5 linked regions of the Macaca fascicularis genome follow. The protein of the gene in region 3 interacts with the protein of the main gene of each other region in a biochemical or structural test. Links are inferred from orthologs where the notes say so. Each region holds a gene or a part of one and is shown on either strand. Other genes may lie near its edges.

Region 1 (3,515 bases), about 580 kb from region 3:
CTCACCATAGTTAAACTTGATTTCCTTTAACAAATACTTATTGAACAGCCAGTACATATAACTGTGCTTAAGGATATGAGTTGACCTGCAGGAATGACCACATAACCAATTTCTGATCTTCGGGCAATTCTATTATGCTTTCAATTTTGTGATGTGCTACTGAAGAAATACACTGTGTAAGAAGCACAAAGCCAAAGATAACCCACATACACCTGCCCTATGAAGTTGAGGGCTGTGTGGCCTGATTGAAGAAGCGTGCATTTGACATCAGACCAGCTCTGAAATCCAGCCTTGCTACTTAACTAGCTCGGTGACCTTGTGTAAAGCCCCTGTCTTCCCTGAGCTGTACTTGGGTTCCCCTTGTAAAATCTCCTTCGTGAGATTGCTGTGGATACAGCAGCCTGTACAGGACCCCAGGTAGTCAGTAAGCATGCGCAGGTGATGCCACATGCACACATCACTATAGATACAGATGGAGGGTGGAGGAAGAAGTGTGGATATCAGGAGGATGGGAGAGATTTCCTTCAGGAAAGACTGGGAGAAATGTGACTTTTGAGCTGCCCTCTAAAAGATAAACAGTGGGTTGAGACTTGCAGTGAGACTCAACAAGTCAAAACTGAGCAGGGATCTATCTACTTAACCCCAAAAGGTTGTTTATACATGCACTCAGCAAGTAGGTGGCAAGGGCTGTTGTTTTCCTGTGGGATAGGACTGTGGTAGAAGTGCTGTGTCATTTAGTACCTTCCGTGCTTATGGTACATGGGTGCATCATACAGTCATTTACCATGTAACTGCCATAAATCCCATTCTTCTGTCTCTTCCATTTGAATTCTAGATTTTAATTTAAACTTAGTTTTCATTTGCTCATACTCAACCCACTCAAAATGAGTGTTTTTTTAAATCTGTGTATAGGCCTGAAGCTGCCCAGCAGGCATTCCAAGGCCTGGGTCCTGGTTTCTCCGGTTACACACCCTATGGGTGGCTTCAGCTTTCCTGGTTCCAGCAGATATATGCGCGACAGTACTACATGCAATAGTGAGTCCTTCCCGCTGTGCTGGGTGTGGCCAGGGCTCCCGGGAATTGAGAGGAATTTTATCCATGTTACCTGTCAAGTTCAGAATGGAGGGATGAATGTATTTTCATCAGTCTGCAGAGCCCTGCTCTGTTTGGTCTGTGGGTGGAGTAGAGTGTAAATGACAGCTGTTACCTGATTTGTATATTGACACAAGGGTGTTTTTGTCTGATACACAGTTTAGTGACTTTATTTAGAACATGTTACTTTCTTTTCAATTTGTGGTACCTTCAAAGTTTTGTGAAGATTTTAATTTGCTACTGTGCCATAATCTTACAGTGGCCTTGATGTTTAATTCCAGGTGAAATTCACCACGTGGCTTCTCTTAGAAAAGGCATTTATAGATATAGTTAGTAAGGAAGTTCTTCACTAAATTGAAGGAAAATCAAATGCATATCTACCTACTTCAAATTCTTAACAGTAAAAGACTGCTGTGTAAATAAGCCACAGCCTTCACGGTGCTTTGGTCTCAACAGTATCTGCCTCTGTCATTTTTATTTTAGTTTAGCAGCCACTGCTGCATCGGGGGCTTTTGTTCCACCACCAAGTGCACAAGAGATACCTGTGGTCTCTGCACCTGCTCCAGCCCCTATTCACAACCAGTTTCCAGCTGAAAACCAGCCAGCCAATCAGAATGCTGCTCCTCAAGTGGTTGTTAATCCTGGAGCCAATCAAAATTTGCGGATGAATGCACAAGGTGGCCCTATTGTGGAAGAAGATGATGAAATAAATCGAGATTGGTTGGATTGGACCTATTCAGCAGCTACATTTTCTGTTTTTCTCAGTATCCTCTACTTCTACTCCTCCCTGAGCAGATTCCTCATGGTCATGGGGGCCACCGTTGTTATGTACCTGTAAGCAGATGGTTTCTCTAATACAAATTACGCTACATTGTGTTCACACTAAGCAGATTTTGCTCTTTTTTGTTTTTTGTGTTTTTTTTTTTTTTTGAGACAGAGTCTCGCTCTGTCACTCAGGCCGGAGTATAATGGCACGATCACTGCAACCTCCGCTTCTCGGGTTCAAGCGATTCTCTTGCCTCAGCCTCCTGGGTAGTTGGTATTACAGGCACCTGCCACCACGCCTGGCTAATTTTTGTATTTCTAGTAGAGACGGGGTTTTGCCATATTGGCCAGGCTGGTCTCGAACTCCTGACCTCAAGTGATCCGCCCACCTTGGCCTCCCAAAGTGCTGGTTTTACAGGCGTGAGCCACTGCGCCTGGCTAGATTTGCTCTTTTTTGAGCAATCTCAGTTACTGTAGAAGGAGGTGTGTTTAAATAGTATATCATTCTGTGGCTGGGCGCAGTGGCTCACGCCTGTGATCCCAGCACTTTGGGAGGCCGAGGCAGGAGGATCACATGAAGCCAAGAGTTCAAGACCATCCTGGCCAATATGGTGAAACCCCGTCTCTACTAAAAATACAAAAAATTAGCCGGGTATGGTGGCGCGGGCCTGTGATTTACTTGGGTAGCTGAGGCAGGAGAATTGCTTGAACTGAGGAGGCAGAGGTTGCAGTGAGCCAAGATCGCACCACTGTGCTCCAGCCTGGGTGACAGAGCAAGACCCTGTCTTAGAATAAATACATAATAAATAGTATATCATTCTGGCACTTTCAGCACAAGGAATTCATGCCTTGGTTGGTTGTATGGTCCCAAGAACATATCAATCCTGTATTAATACAAGAATATTCTCTTGTCCTCTAGATAAGCTACCTTACCTTCCAGGCTCACAAACCAGAATTATGTAGCCATACTGAGGCATGGAACAGCAAATTGTATTTGTTTTGAATGAGAACATATTTGCCTTTATCAGGCCACAGCTGCCTTCCAGGGTAAAGGTCAGGCACTGACTGTTAGCATAGCCCTGAAAGGCAAGGGAATCTTCACATACCTGACATTTGGTTTTAGCTGTGGCCTGGAGCAGTACTCACCTGGGGGTGGTTTTGTACTCTCTCTCCCCAGGGGACATTTGGCAATGTGTAGGTATTTTTGTTTGTCACATCTAGGGGAAGTGGTCCTGCTAGCATCTGGTTAGTAGAAGCAAGAGTGCTGCTGAATTTTCTACAATGCACAGGACAACTCCCACAGTAAATATTTGGCTCAATATGTCACTAGTGCGAAAGCTGAGAAAGCCTGGCCTGGAGTGATGAGTCTTCGTGGTTGAAACTAAAAGAAGAAATTTTCCTTTATAGTAAAAATGGATTTTTATTTTAGCTTTTAAAAATAAAAAATAATTAGAATATAATGAACACTCAAATATCCACAATTAATCATTGCTAATATTTTGTTATATTTGTTTTAAGACTTGGGATTTAATTGGTTTCTTCAAATCAAACATTTAGTTAATATTTTCTGTAGTCTCTAGAATCATATATTTAAATGACCAAATGTAGGTTGTCATTATGTTATATATAATGATAGTTTTGTAGGTATATGCTTTCTC
Region 2 (4,246 bases), on a different chromosome or scaffold from region 3:
ATTTTCTGTCTGGCTCCCATGGGAATTCCCAAGAGACTATGTGTCTAGAAACATCAGTGACCCCTTTCCAAACACAAAATGATACAAGTTTATTTACCAGACTCTCCTGTGATTTCGAAGATTAAAAAATGGCAAAGAAGATGGGGTCTGGAATCAGGTGAATGAAGAAAGACTAAGAAGATAAAAAAGTAGCAAAAAAGGTCCCGGCACAGTGGCTCACACCTGTAATCCCAGCACTTTGGGAGGCTGAGGCAGGTGAATCACCTGAGGTCAGGAGTTCGAGAACAGCCTAGCCAACATGGTAAAACCCTGTCTCTACCAAAAATACAAAAATTAGCCGGGCGCAGTGGTGGACATCTGTAATCCCAGATACTTGGAAGGCTGAGGCAGGAGAATCGCTTGAACCCAGGAAGCAGAGGTTGCAGGGAGCTGAGACTGCACCCCAGCCCTCCATCCTGGGCAACAAGAGCAAAATTCCACCCCAAAAAAAAAAAAAAAAGTAGCAAAAAGAGAAATATTTTTCCTAACTAGAGACTGATTCTTGGGAAGTACCAGAGTGTTTATACACAACTAATCACAAGTCTATACATAGCTTTCTTATATCCAGGTAATATCATGTTTTAGAAAACCATGGACCACCCCACATGCAATTTGTCTCCAAGTATTACAGAAATAAAGACATAGATAGCTAGGGCCGGGTGCGGTGGCTCATGCCTATAATCCCAGCACTTTGGGAGGCCGAGGCAGGCAGATTACCTGAGGTCAGGAGTTTGAGACCAGTCTGACCAACTTGGAGAAACCCCATCTCCACTAAAAATACAAAATTAGCCGGACATGGTGGCACATGCCTGTAATCCCAGTTACTAGGGAGGCTGAGGCAGGAGAATCACTTGAACCTGGGAAGCGGAGGTTGCGGTGGGCCGAGATTGTGCTATTGCACTCCAGCCTGGGCAACAAGAGCGAAACTCCCTCTCAGGAAAAAAAAAAAAAAAAAAAAAAAAGACATAGATAACTGTGTCCAAGGCTTTAAGCTCAAGAGACTCAAGATGTGACACCAAAATTAGTAATTTCACTCAACAGTCTATCAAGGACCTATCTCCAGTATGGGTTCTGATTTCTACCCTTTAAAAACACAGAATAAACCTGACTGCTTTCTATCAATAACACATACTTGCTTAGGGTCCCTGTGCTGTTTCCCTTCCCAAAGGCCAGAGCCATGTCTGTCCCTTTGGGCTGGGGTCCACCCGTGATGATGACACACATCTTCCTTCCTCTGTATTTCCCTCTGCATTAAGTTCTATCTATGTGAAGGACAGAACAAAATCAGCCTCACTCACAAAACATCAGAAAACGTTCGACTGGAATACGAAGGGATCAATAAAAAGAAAATCTGAGGCCAGGTATGGTGGCTCATGCCTGTAATCCCAGCACTCTGGGAGGCAGAGGAGGGCAGATCACCTGAGGTAAGGAGTTCGAGACCAGCCTGGCCAACATGGTGAAACCCCGTCTCTACTAAAAATACAAAAATTAGCTGGGTATAGTGGCACACACCTGTAATCCCAGCTACTCAGGAGGCTGAGGTAGGAGAATCGCTTGAACGTAGGAGGTGGAAGTTGCAGTGAGCCAAGATCGCGCCACTGCACTCCAGCCTGGAAGACAGAGTGAGACTCCATCTCAAAAAAAAAAAAAAAAAGAAAAGAAAAGAAAGAAAATCTGATCACCAAAAATCAGGCTCATCTCTCAGGCTAAGGAGCCTAAACGAGGAAAAAAAGCTAAAGGTGTCTTCCAGAACTACTGAGTTGTCTCACCTGGGCCCCCACAATAAAGGTCCGAGTTTGAGAGTCCAGCGTCTTCACCAGCACCTCCAAGCTGTCAGGCTCCTCCACAGAGGTACTGGTACTATCATTAGGCTCCATGGCCGACAGGTCTCTAAAGAAGAACGAAGGAAAGGAGGCCCGCTGTTGCCCAGCAGAGTGTACCCGGAAGACTCCCTAGCGTTAATCCCTGCCCCAATACCTAAAAAGTTTCTCCTACACACACACACACATTCACACCTGTCCCCATCCCCCCCTCTGATTCTGGGGCGCAGGGAGAGAAACACAAAAGGGCAGGAGATCGACGGCATAGGGAGCTGGAGGACGAGAGGTGGGAGGGGCTCCATGATGCCAATCACAATAAGCGTGGAGCCAGTCAAGATTAGGAAGGAAGCACGAGACCAGAGACTAGTGTCATCACCGGTCACGGCAGGACAAGCACCCCACAGGTCGGAAAATCCTGGGACTACGCGAAAGCGGTGGTCGCGCCACACTCTGCGGGGAAAGTGGTTTCGCGCACGCGCGCCACGCCCATCGAACCCTCCTAACTCTCTAGACCCGAAACGGCACTCACGGGGCCACCGACCTGCTAGCTGACTGCCCGCGTCTCCTGCCTTCCCACGGTGTTCCAGCAGAGCAGCACAACTAACCCACAGCCAAATACAAACACACAAACACACACACACCCCCACTACCCCGCGGCTCCGCCCCCGACTTCCCCACGGACCGTCACTTCCGGTCTCCCCCAAACCTGCCACCGACGGCCACTTCCGTTTCCCGATAGTATTTGGGGATCTCGAGGCGATACTTCCGGCTCCCCCCAGGTCCCCAAGCTTTACTTTTGTGGGGCACGACGAGAAAGTCCGCAGCCCCAAACAGTGAGTTTCTGAGGGCGAGTCGGGCCGGGGCCGGCCTAGGTGGGAGGGAGCCGAGCACCCAGAGGAGCCGCCGCCGCCGTCGCCCGGGGGACCGTACTACGCCTGCGTGTGTCGCACTACGCATGCGTAGACACTTAAGCATTGCCCCCCCCCCCCCCACAACCCCCTCGGCGGCGTTCACGTCTGTGCGCGCGCTTGAGCGCTAGAAGATTGAGGTGGCTACCGTAAATGCCTGTAAAACAATCACCAACTGGGACTCTACCACTGCTTCGAGAGGGGCTATGGACGGTCGTATGGACCTTGGACTTTGGAGATGGGGGATTATGCCACATTAATCTATGTTTAAATCTTGGCAGGCTGAGAATTTCAGGCGGCACTGTCCTAGCTAGCTAAAACTCTTCTCCACCTTTTCGCCCTCGCTGCGCCCTTTCGTCTGTGCCTCCGGAAGTTACTGTTACAGTAGGCGTTTGGGGGCGGCACGGGGCGATTTTGTTCTTGGTTGGTTGGGCTAGATTTCAGTTCCGCCGGGTGGGCGTTTTGCGGGCTGTGGGCGTCACATTCGTCACCGGCGGTGTGTGGCCAAGGGGACATGACACGTTTTAGGAAAACTAAGCGTGCTACTACATTGCAAGATTTTTGTCAAGAAAAGAGGCGCCTCCGAGTTTGAGAATTGGGAGCAGATGGAGTTGGAGTGGACAGAAAGACAAGACCCTGATCGTGGAGAATTTAAAGGCCGGCCAGCGTGCTTCCGAAGGCCGGGGGTGGAGGCATTACCGCCTCTCCGTGCCCTCTTAACCTGCCCTGGGACAAGGGCCTCGGCCCTGCGAAACTTCGAGTCCTCCCGAAAGACACATCGCTGCTGGGGTGCCCAACCTTTCTGAGATTCGTAGTTTATACCCAGGTCCTGGTTATGTTTTAGTTAAGAGTTCTAATAAGCATCTGTTTAATGAGCACTTGTGCCAGCCGATATACTACGGGTTTTGTGGGGGTTTTTTGTTTGTTTTGTTTTGTTTTTTTTGAGACAGAGTCTCGCTCTGTCGCCCAGGCTGGATGCAGTGGCGCGATCTCGGCAACCTCCGCCTCCCGGGTTCACGCCATTCTCCTGCCTCAGCCTCCCGAGTAGCTGGGACTACAGGCGCCCGCCACCACGCCCGGCTAATTTTTTGTATTTTTAGTAGAGACGGGATTTCACCGTGTTAGCCAGGATGGTTTCGATCTCCTGACCTCGTGATCCGCCCGCCTCGGCCTTCCAAAACGCTGGGATTACAGGGGCAGGCCTTGTGTATTATTTTAAAAAGCCTTTTAACATAAACCTTTAACATTTTTTAGGTGAGTACACTAAGACGAACATGAATGTCAGAATTGACAAATGGAGGCCAACAGGACTCCAGATCGAGCACTTGTACTTTACTGCCCCAATAAAAAAGTGTTACATTTTAGCTTTTTTATGTATTTTTTTGAGAGAGGGTTTGGCTTTGTCGCCCAGGCTGGAGTACACTAGCTCAATCACAACTCACTGCAGCCTCTGCCTCCCAAGCCCAACCGATCCTCCCA
Region 3 (3,515 bases):
TAAGCAGAAATTGCACCACAGCACTCCAGCCTGGGTGACAGAGCCAGACCCTAGACTCTGTCAAAAGCAAAAGAAGAGAAGAGAAGAGAAGTGAAGAGAAGTGAAGAGAAGAGAAGAGAAGAGAAGAGAAGAGAAGAGAAGAGAGAAGAGAGAAGAGAGAAGAGAAGAGAGAGGGGAGAGGGGGAAGGGGAGAAGGGGAAGGGGGGAGGGGAGGGGCAGACAAAATAAGCCTCTTGTGACTTTTTTTGTTTTTTTTTTTTTGTAGAGACAAGGTCTTTCTATGTTGGCTAGGCTGGTCTTGAAGGGTATTTTTTATTATAGAAATTGATGGCCAGGCACAGTGGCTAACACCTGTAATCCCAGCACTTTGGGAGGTCAAGGCAGGCCGATTGCTTGATCTCAGGAGTTCAAGACCAGCCTGGTAACACGGCAAAACCCCATCTCTACAAAAAAATCAAAAATTGGCCTGGCATGGTGGTTCATGCCTGTGGCCCCAGCTACTGGGGAGACTAAAAAGGGAGGATCACTTGAGCCCACAAGGTGGAAGTTGCAGTGAGCCGAGATCGCACCACTGCACTCCAGACTGGGCAACAGAGTGAGACCTTGTCTCAAAAAATATATATATATATTTTTCATTAAGAAAAAAGTCCTCGGCCGGGCGCGGTGGCTCAAGCCTGTAATCCCAGCACTTTGGGAGGCCGAGACGGGTGGATCACGAGGTCAGGAGATCGAGACCATCCTGGCTAACACGGTGAAACCCCGTCTCTACTAAAAATACAAAAAAAAACTAGCCGGGCGAGGTGGCGGGCGCCTGTAGTCCCAGCTACTTGGGAGGCTGAGCCAGGAGAATGGCGTGAACCCGGGAGGCGGAGCTTGCAGTGAGCTGAGATCCAGCCACTGCACTCCAGCCTGGGCGACAGAGCGAGACTCCATCTCAAAAAAAAAAAAAAAAAAAAAAAAAGAACAAAGTCCTCTTAATCTAGTAGAATAAAACTATTACATTGTTTATGTTTTAGATTAAATTCCCATTTGTAAGTGAAAAATATTTTACAGGAGAAACACTATGAATATAAGAAATTATTTAGTTTAAAATATCAAATCTGTAATATGATAAATTATCTTAAAAGAATAAACACTAACAAGCTAAAATAAAAGTATATACTATAGTATGATCTGACAGGCCTAAGTTAATTGGGTTTATTTTTAGGTATATCCTTTTCAAAGTTTGGACTAATATTAGCTGAAAGTTAGAGAACCAAAAGAAGGCAAATGTAAGTAGCATTCTAACTGTGCTTTGCAATATAATATACCTAAAGCAATAAGTCATTATAAATAGATTTTTCAACAGGTTTTGTGTCAAGATGAAATACAGTTGCATATTTTTAAAATACAGAAAGTATTCACCTAAGATTACATATCCTAGTGTTTATATTAGGACTATTGTATTTTAATTATATTATAATATGATAATTAACATTATATATTTAAATGTTCCTTTTCTAATTTTACTTACACTACTAAATGTACTCCAAAATGAATGCTGTCAAACAGAAATAAACTTTAACTCTGCTCTACCAAATTCCCAATTAGTAGTTCACATTTAGTAAGTGTTTTGACATTAGCCAATTAGCTTCAGTTTATCTAATATCTCATTTTTTAATTAACAATACTAATTATGGGTATTTTGCCTTTGGACTAAGGAAAAAGCAAATACAGCCATTAAATATAAGGACATACAAAGAATTTTTGTTTTGTTTTTTTTTGAGACGGAGTCTCGCTCTGTCACCCAGGCTGGAGTGCAGTGGCGTGATCTTGGCTCACTGCAACCTCTTCCTCCTGGGTTCAAGCAATTCTCCTGCCTCAGCTTCCCGAGCACGTGGGACTACAGACGTGCGCCACCATGCCCAACTAATTTTTTTTTTTGTATTTTTAGTAGAGATGGGATTTCACAATATTGGCCAGGCTGGAGAATTTTTATTTCTACTGAACAGAAATTGGTATTTTCAGAAAGGTTTAAAAGAGTAAAAAATTTTTAAATCTTAAAGTATTCATGAATAGACCAGATTTTTCCTTCAAAATTTACATATTCATCATTTTGTAAAATCTTTATCCCCTATGTAAAGAAAGAATTACATAAAATACCACACAAAAGCATTCAGTACCAGTACCCAGCACACAAAAAGGAACTGAAATGCTTGTTAAAATGAAAGACCAAATATCCATCTGTCATTTCCTGGGTGAAAATAACCTGTCAAACATCCAGCTTCCTTGAAAACAGACAGAAACACAATCTGAGAAAGTCCTGCGTCCAGCATCTCACCTCTGCAGCCATGAAAGCCAAGGTGTGCATTCCGTGGGTGTAGCCGGTGATGCAGCAGACGGCCGCCAGTCCACAGCAAGAAAGCAGCATGGCAACCAACAGGGACAGGACTCGACCGTGGCTGCTCATTGGCGTGGTGGGCGAGAAGGAAAGCTGAAATGCACACAGTGGGAAACTGCTCATTCTTCTTCATGGAAGTGTTAAACTTCACTGAGAAATTCAAGGTCCATCTTGGCTTCTCTACTTAGGGTTCTGTGCTAAGCACAGAAAAGCATCCCACTACTATACGGTCCTATTCTACAATAACCCAAATATGAGCATGAGCTGATATTTAGAGATCCCTGTCATATAATATACTGAATATAACAATATGCATTATATTTTTATCCCTTACTCTCAAGGATCCTCCTAGCACTGGGATTATAAACCCCTAGAAGCAATGTTCTGAGGGTATACAACTCTCTCCTCTCACCTTCAACAGGACTCAGGACATGCCTGTTCTGTTGTATTTCTTTCTTAATCTTGCTCTAGTCCTCCTCTCTGAAACTGGCATTCCCAGTCTATTAGGGCTAGAACAACTGAAATGCAATCCAGGCGCAGATTTACCACTATTACAATGTGATGTCAGCACTATGCAAAGAGAGGCAACTGTCTGAAAAGAAGGCCTGGAGCTGTAACTCCTGAGGTCGCAGGCGGAGATTAAAAAAACCAGTTTGGGAGGTTAGAAGTTCCTGTTTGTGGCTTCAAATGAGGGTTGAATGTGAAAGAAATAAAGGTTTGAGAGTGAGATTAACTCACACCAAGGTGCAAGGTCCATGTGGACTGGGTAAAGACAGGGAAAAACACGGCCCTGGAGTGGGTTTAACTGAGGGGCAGCATTGTGGGTGCACATTTATCTGGGACTCATGAGACTACTTCAGGTCACTAATGGGTGGGGGTTCACCCATACAGCTATGATCTGAAACCAAGTGACAGATCTTGTACCAGACACAAAAGGATTCACTTCTGCAACCAAGGAAGCTAAGGGAACTAATTCAGTCCTGGCCCGGGGTGGAAAGAGTATAAACTAGTCAGAAAGAAGAGCTCCAGGAACCAGGGTAAGCTGGGGGAGACAGAAGGAGACTGGAACAGAAAATATCTAGAAAAGACCAGATTTTATTGTTTATGTATCAAGGTTTCCTTGCACTGTGAACAA
Region 4 (3,365 bases), on a different chromosome or scaffold from region 3:
TATGGCATATAGAAATGCTACTAATTTTTGTATGTTGATTTTGTATCCAGCAACATTACTGAATTTGTTTATCAGTTCCAATAGTTCTTTGGAGTCTTTAGATTTTTCCAAATATCAGTCTCCTTTGTAGCTGAGTTTACAGGTATGTACCACCATGCCTAGCTAATTTTTGTATTTTTAGTAGAGATGGGGTTTCACCATGTTGACCAGGCTGGTCTTGAACTCCTGACCTCAGGCGATCCACCTGGCTCAGCCTCCCAAAGTGCTGGGATTACAGGAATGAGCCACTATGCCTGATCAAAAATGGCATAATTAAACTATGAATATTCTTTCTAAACAATGGGTAAAGTCACAGCGGATTAACTTTCACCTATGTTAATAATCAAATTCTAGTTCTGACAAACGCCCCATACCAACAGTGATTACAGTGATCAAAAATATTTACTTGTTGGTTCTCATTCAGTTCTATAGATTTCTCGTTAATATGCAGGAAAGCATCTGATAATACTTTTGTAAAGTGGTCTTTATTGATTTAATATAAAACTTATTATAGAATACTCCAGGTAAAACATGAGATATAAATGTCACTGTTAGAGCCATCAAAATAATTCTTGTTTTCATTAATAATTGTGGATGAAATTATTGAGAAATGTTGATTCTCTTGTCAGAGCTCAGGAGGAGTTAATGGTGCTAACTAGGGGTGCTTGAACCAGGCTGGAGATAGTCCTATGAGAAGCAGAGGAGCCAAATCTACCTCCCCTGCACTAATTTGGTCATCTCCTTTATATTCCCAAGTATAACAGTCTACACAGACAGTGAGAGAGCTCAATGCATGTACAGAATCCCTGGTTATTTATGCAGTACATTGGATGAAGCCCGTCTTCATTTCAGGGTTCTATTCACAAAGTAATTTGAGGTCTCTCGTGTTCTGGGGCACAGCTTTCTTGAAGAGCAAAGCAGAAGTCCTTAGTAAAATTCAGGCTCCACTTACGGTCCCATCCCTTGACTCAATCTTTAGAACAATGGGTTTTTCTGTTTGAAGAAGTCCTCCTAAGCGTAATTTCAGTGGGATCTGCAACAGTTAAAAAAGCGTATTGAGTAGTATTAAATAAAGCAAATGTAGAAAATATAGCATCAAAGTAAAAAAATGCAGTAATGACAATAATGCTTGTAAACATATAAAAACTACTTTCAGCACTATAAATCTTGGATTCTTTACACTTATTCTATAAGATGTGTGAAGATTGGATAGTGAGAGCATTCATCATCTATCATTTAACAAAATATTTATGGAGTACTCTTCTGTGCCAGGCCTGAGACAAATTCATGGGAACCTGTGTTCTTTATTGATTTAAATTGTAAGTAAAATGGATGAGTTTTTAAAATTTAAACCAGATTATTAAGTATGATGGCAAACTATTTTTGAAGAGTCATATAAAGTTAATTTTGTGTATGTTGAAACTTGCAAGGTAATCCTAAGTAGTTATTGTACATTTTAATTATATGGACAGTCTTCAACTTCCAGAGTCCAGTAATTCCTCCCAGTTGAACCTGTCCAGTGTAAAGATGGGAAGACACCTTCAGGAAACATCATCGTTTTATTTTTTATCTTCTCCTCTTGGCTCCTAAGGGTAGTGCAAGTGGGGAACCTCTCAATTCCTACAGTGTTTTGACTCAACTTTTAGCCCCATTCTTATTGAGACACTGCTTCAGTATTGAGGGGACGCAACAGAGTGATATTCTGATCACCATGGAGTAATGGGCATGAAAATGGCCATGGAGATCAAGAAGTGCCAGCTTGGGAGCTTACCAAGGAGTACCTTCCCCATCCCAGGTGTGCCAGAGGACCACTTTTATTCAACGCTGAGTCCCCTGTCTGAGCACATATAGGATAGCTACACAGCTGGCCTAAAGTCACCAATCATATGGAATATGAAAATAATATGGAAACTATTACTACCTTCTTCCTCTCCTATATAGAAAGCCTACCTAAGGGGTGGAGTTGAATAATAAATACGTGAGACTTAGAAATAAGATTTATAGGGTCTTGTTTAATATGAATCAGTGACATCTGTTCTTTAACTTCTTCAGAGAAAATATCTTTCTATAAATATAACACCTTACTATTTAAAAATTTTCAAAACCCAAGAATGTTTTCACTGCAGACAGACATGCATGTGCACATGTGCACACACACACGCACACACACGCGCGCGCATATGCATGAATAGCATTTGTTAAAGGTTCACATTAAGTAGCTTAATATATGTATGCAAGCCATCAACTGCACATCACTCCTTAAACATTGACCAAATGCTTGCGTTAGATACAGTCCCTTGCAAGGCACCACTGGGATATTTTAAAAGGAATAAAATGAGAGGATATTGTTAATGGAGGTGGGAAGACATTCTTAGATACACAGAAAATATAGAGAATAAAACTCAATGATTCAATGGCAAATTGTGAAATTATATGATAATAGCCTCCAGTATCCAATAACAGAGCAGAGAAGTAAATGGGCCCTGGACTAGGAGGAGAAGACACTTTGGAGGGGCTTGGAAATTGAACTAGGACTTGAAAGATAAGAACAAAATGAGGAGAAAGGGAACAACATTAATAGAGTTATAACTGGGTTGAAATGGAGCCCAACTGAATGGAGCTAGGCACCTGGAAGGTGAGGTCAGTCAGGATGGCCTTGGACTGTGGTAGCCCTTCATGTCCACCAGAAATGCCTTAAATTAGTCATTCTCAACCTTGTCTTCAGATAAGAAACAATGGGGGAGCTTTTAAAGCTACACTCTGGGCAAATTAGTTTAGAATTTCTGTGATATCCCAGGCATCATGAATTTTTAAAGCTCCCTGGTGATTCCAAGGTACAGTTAGTGGTTGGGAGCCACTGTCATGAGAAAATTTCTGTAAGTTCTGGTAGGGGAGAGCAGCATTCAAAAGTCACAACAAGGTAATCATTGCACTTTATGATTGTGCAAAATACTTCCCCATCTTTCCAATCAACTTGAAACTGAACTTAAACTTTGCTCAAGTTCAAGGAGACTGCAGATAATCATGCCATGCTAATCTATATGGACTTCACATGATGTTTTTAATGCTACAGCTTTTGACCTCGAGAACTGAAGCGCCCTTAAAGATCACAGATGGGTCCAAATTGATTCCTTGGCCCATAGGACAAATTAGTAAAAGATTAAACAAGCATATTCTTTTTAAAAAATATAGACCTTTCAGTTAAAAGAATTCTTAATAAAACATTATTTTTATAGAAAATTGACTAACCTGTGTTTCTTTACAAGGTTTGAAGGAGAAGTTCTGAAGGACTCTGATTATAGCAAGTTTCATGTTCATGAGAGCAA
Region 5 (3,944 bases), on a different chromosome or scaffold from region 3:
ACCTAGTACCTCAAGTTGTTTAACAATTCACCACATAAAACTTATTCTGATTAAAGAATTGGGGAAATCTTAATTCCCTCCTCCAAACAAAAAAGTATACAGAAAAGGTGTTTATAAATGTCAAGATGCAGACGGGCGCGGTGCTCACGCCTGTAATCCCAACACTTTGGGAGGCCCAGGCGGGCGATCCCCAGGTCAGGAGTTGGAGATCAGCCTGGCCAGCATGGTAAAAACCCGCCTCTACCAAAAATACAAAAAATTAGCCGGGCGTGGTGGTGCGCGCCTGTAATCCCAGCTACTCGGGAGGCTGAGGCAGGAGAATCACTTGAACCCAGGAGGCGGAGGTTGCAGTGAGCCGAGATGACGCAACTGCACTCCAGCCTAGGTGATAAGAGTGAGACTCTGCCTCAAAATTTAAAAAAAGATGGAATAAAGTTCTCTTTTTTTTTGAGACAGTCTCGCTCTGTCGCCCAGGCTGGAGTGCAGTGGCGCGATCTCGGCTCACTGCAAACTCCACCTCCGGGGTTCACGCCATTCTCCTGCCTCAGCCTCCCCAGTAGCTGGGACTACAGGCGCCCGCCACCACACCCGGCTAATTTTTTGTATTTTTAGTAGAGACGGGGTTTCACTATGTTAGCCAGGATGATCGCAATCTCCTGACCTCGTGATCCGCCCGCCTCGGCCTCCCAAAGTGCTGTGATTACAGGCATGAGCCACGGCGCCCGGCCCTTCTTTTTTTTTTTTGAAGAGTCTCGCTCTGTTGCCCAGGCTGGAATGCAATGGGGCGATCTCAACTCACTGCAGCGATGCCTCCCGGGTTCAAGCAATTCTCCTGCCTCAGCCTCCCGAGCAGCTGGGATTACAGGCGCCCTCCACCACGCCCGAATAATTTTTTGTATTTTTAGTAGTGACGGGTGTTTCACCACATTGGCCAGGCTGGCCTTGAACTCCTGTCTTCAGGTGATCTGCCCGCCTCAGCTTCCCGAAGTGCTGAGATTACAAGCGTGAGCCACCGCGCCCGGCCTCAGTGCTTTTCCAGTACATAATTTTGATGAGTATCCTGTAGTATCATTAGAACTTCTCCATTCACTGGAAGCGAACTCCCCCGAGCATCTAGAACTTTAATACTTGTCCAAACCTGCTTGCTCATGGTCTAATAATAAACCCAATTATACTATCTGTAAGAACCCCTGACAATCTTTTCCTTAAGAAGCTATAAAGGTGATTTAACGAACACCTCAAACTCTTAGTAAATGTATTTCAAAGACAGATTTCATCACTCCAGTCTTTGGCTTCTGCTGAGGGCCGGAGGCTACTGGTTGTAGAGTGGGTAGGGGGAAGATCGCTTGAACTGAGAATGACACACGCCGGGCGTTGTACAGCAGGGGTAACTGCTGGTTCATTTCTCTTTAAATCTGGCAGCACGTGGGGCTGCATTGTGAAGCCACCAACCCGCCTCCCCCCTTCCACTCCGCACACGGACGTCTCCAGTGCGCATGCTCTGCGCACACAGTCCTAGCAGAGTAGGAGCCAACCCCCTAAAAAGTCAACCTGGAAGCCGCAAACGGCCGGAGGCCGGGACAATGGGGGAGGGGGGCCGCAGGCTCCTCGGAGAGGCCGACCCGGCCGCCGCCCCGGGCCAGAGTCTGCGGGCGCAGCTCCGGGGTTTGCGGGCCTGCGCAGGAGCAGGAATCGCGGCGAGCACAAAGCCCGGAGCCGGCCAGCGAGCGGCTCTCCCCGCGGCCCGCTCCTACCCTCCCCCAGCCGGGCGGCGCAGCCGGAGCCCGTGCCAGGCGGAGGCAGGCGAGGCGGCGTTCCGCACCCCGCCAGGGTCTCCGGCACCCGCGCGCCCGCGTGGAGGCCGCCGAGGCCGGCGCTTTTGTTGTCGGCCCCAACTCCGCGGACCCAGCGCCGCCCGGGGAGAAGTTTTGTGCGCCTCACCTATCCCGCCAGGGCAGGTCCCTTCCGCCCGCCCTCGCCCCCTGCGGCTCAGACACCGAGCCTGGGACTCGCAGCCACGCTGGGCCCGGACGCTCCAGCCGGCCCCGAAGGTCCGGCGACCCCGGCAGCACCTGAGCCCGGGACCCGCCCCTCCAGGCTGGCGGCCCCGGCCTGGGGATCCGCACACAGCCCCTCCCCCGCAACGTCCTACAGAACGGTGGGGGAGGGGGGCCGCCTCCTCTCCGATCCCCCGGGCGCCAGGCCCGGTCCCCGGCCCGGAGCTGGGTCGCGTCCCCGCCCCCAATGCCCTCCGAGAGCCAGGCGAGAACGGCTGGGCCCGGCCGGGACCGGAGCCTCGAGGTACCCACCCTCGCAGGCCCGGACCCCTTCGGCCGTGCGGCCGCTGGCTCGGGAGGAGGAGAAGAGGGACCGAGCAGCGGCTGTCTGCGATCGCGGCCGAGCCCGGCGGCCCGCCGCCCGCCTGCTCACCTGCCAGCTGTCTTCGCAGTAGCAGTGCCGACTGCAGCTCCGTCATCCTCCCCGCCGAGGGCCCGGGCTGGCGCCGGGGCTTCCGAAGGGCTGGGGACAGGCTCTGGGGGCGGCTGGAGCGGGGTGTGCCGAGGAACCCGGGCCCCGCGACCGGAGCGCCGGAGCCGAGGGAGGCCGGGCTGAGGCGGCGGGAGCGGCGCCTCGCTGCCGGTGCGAGTCCGCTCGCTTCAGCTCTTTTCACAGCGACTCACGCCCGGAAGGGGAGGGTGCCCGGGCTGCCGCGGCGCGCACTGGGACTTCGCTCGCCCGCTTCCCTCCTTCAACCCGCCCGTCGGCCCCACCGGTGCCTTCCCCCGCCACTGCCTCACTGCGCGCAGGGCCGCTCGGCGCAGGCGCGCTGAGACAGCCGACTTGGGAAGCGTCCCGCCCGCTAGCCCGACCCCTCGGCCTCCCGCCCCGCCCCCGGCGGCGGAACCCCGCCCCCTAAGCGCAGTTGTCCCTGTCGTCGCCATTTTGGGAAGGTCGACGCCCGGCTGCCAGCCCAAGTCTCCGCTGGTAGACGCCCCGCGGACGCCATGACAAAGAGGTCGCGGAGGGTCAAATACAGCATCTGGATTGAAGTAATGGATATGGGAGCGAAGGGGCCAAAAGAAGTGGTAGATGTCTTGTCGTTGGCGAGCGCCCAAAAGCCATCTAACACTGCCACATGGTGTGCGAATTAGGAATTGTTAGAAAGCCGAAGTTAGTACTGGTGTGCCCCATTTTAACCAAACACCAAAATAGAGGCAATATATGCTGATAATTCTCTTTACATGAAGAGTGCACAAAAAGATTTTTTTTTTTAGACCGAATCTCGCTTTGTCGCCCAGGCTGCAGTACAGTGGCGTGATCTCGGCTCACTGCAACCTCCGCCTCCCGGGTTCAAGTGATTCTTCTGCCTCCGCCTCCTGAGTAGCTGGAATTAGAGGCGCCCACCACCACGCCCGGCAAATTTTTCGTATTTTTAGTAGAGATGGGGTTTCACCATGTTGGCCAGGCTGGGCTCAAACTCCTGGCCTCAAGTGATCCACCGGCCTCAGCCTCCCAAAGGTGCTGGGATTACAGGCATGAGCCACCGCGACTGGCCCTATTATTATTGAGCCCCCGCAACCGGCCGTGTTATTATTATTATTTATGGACAGCAATTCTTTCTGTCGCCCAGGCTGGAATGCAGTGATCATAGCTCACTGCAGCTTGGAACTCCTGGGCTTAAGGGATCCTCCCATCTGAGTCTCCTTAGTATCTGGGATTACAGGTACACACCACACAACCATGCCCTGCTATTTTTTTATTTGCTTTATAGAGATGGGAGGTTTCGGCGGGGCGGGGTGGCTCACGCCTGTAATCCCAACACTTTGAGAGGCCAAGGCGGGTAGATCACCTGAGGTCACGAGTTCGAGATCAGCCTGGCCAACATGGTGAAACCCCGTCTCTACTAAAAATACAAAAATTAGCCCGGCCTGGTGGCAGGCGCC

What was found.
Region 1: of the proteins of AMFR (region 3) and HERPUD1, one has a biochemical effect on the other in vitro, tested with the Homo sapiens proteins (6 studies listed by BioGRID and IntAct, with this or other methods). The link is inferred for Macaca fascicularis from reciprocal best matches to the Homo sapiens genes AMFR and HERPUD1.
Region 2: the proteins of AMFR (region 3) and BAG6 form a complex in vitro, tested with the Homo sapiens proteins (2 studies listed by BioGRID, with this or other methods). The link is inferred for Macaca fascicularis from reciprocal best matches to the Homo sapiens genes AMFR and BAG6.
Region 4: of the proteins of AMFR (region 3) and CYP3A4, one has a biochemical effect on the other in vitro, tested with the Homo sapiens proteins (4 studies listed by BioGRID). The link is inferred for Macaca fascicularis from reciprocal best matches to the Homo sapiens genes AMFR and CYP3A4.
Region 5: the proteins of AMFR (region 3) and UBE2G1 form a complex in vitro, tested with the Homo sapiens proteins (7 studies listed by BioGRID, with this or other methods). The link is inferred for Macaca fascicularis from reciprocal best matches to the Homo sapiens genes AMFR and UBE2G1.

What each region holds. Positions count from the first base shown.
Region 1 is NC_088394.1:53,043,264-53,046,778, forward strand, and holds part of HERPUD1 (homocysteine-responsive endoplasmic reticulum-resident ubiquitin-like domain member 1 protein), read left to right. Parts: intron 1-912; coding exon 913-1,035; intron 1,036-1,575; coding exon 1,576-1,926; intron 1,927-3,515. UniProt on the Homo sapiens protein: Component of the endoplasmic reticulum quality control (ERQC) system also called ER-associated degradation (ERAD) involved in ubiquitin-dependent degradation of misfolded endoplasmic reticulum proteins.
Region 2 is NC_088378.1:140,070,499-140,074,744, reverse strand, and holds the start of BAG6 (large proline-rich protein BAG6), read right to left. Parts: upstream 2,803-4,246; 5' UTR 2,542-2,802; exon of another isoform or gene 2,401-2,541; intron 1,930-2,400; 5' UTR 1,917-1,929; coding exon 1,809-1,916; intron 1-1,808. UniProt on the Homo sapiens protein: ATP-independent molecular chaperone preventing the aggregation of misfolded and hydrophobic patches-containing proteins.
Region 3 is NC_088394.1:52,467,226-52,470,740, forward strand, and holds part of AMFR (E3 ubiquitin-protein ligase AMFR), read right to left. Parts: intron 2,474-3,515; coding exon 2,321-2,473; intron 1-2,320. UniProt on the Homo sapiens protein: E3 ubiquitin-protein ligase that mediates the polyubiquitination of lysine and cysteine residues on target proteins, such as CD3D, CYP3A4, CFTR, INSIG1, SOAT2/ACAT2 and APOB for proteasomal degradation.
Region 4 is NC_088377.1:48,404,216-48,407,580, forward strand, and holds the end of CYP3A4 (cytochrome P450 3A8), read right to left. Parts: coding exon 3,289-3,365; intron 1,073-3,288; coding exon 977-1,072; 3' UTR 509-976; downstream 1-508.
Region 5 is NC_088390.1:4,427,220-4,431,163, forward strand, and holds the start of UBE2G1 (ubiquitin-conjugating enzyme E2 G1), read right to left. Parts: upstream 2,816-3,944; 5' UTR 2,477-2,815; coding exon of another isoform or gene 2,431-2,476; intron 1-2,430. UniProt on the Homo sapiens protein: Accepts ubiquitin from the E1 complex and catalyzes its covalent attachment to other proteins. In vitro catalyzes 'Lys-48'-, as well as 'Lys-63'-linked polyubiquitination. May be involved in degradation of muscle-specific proteins.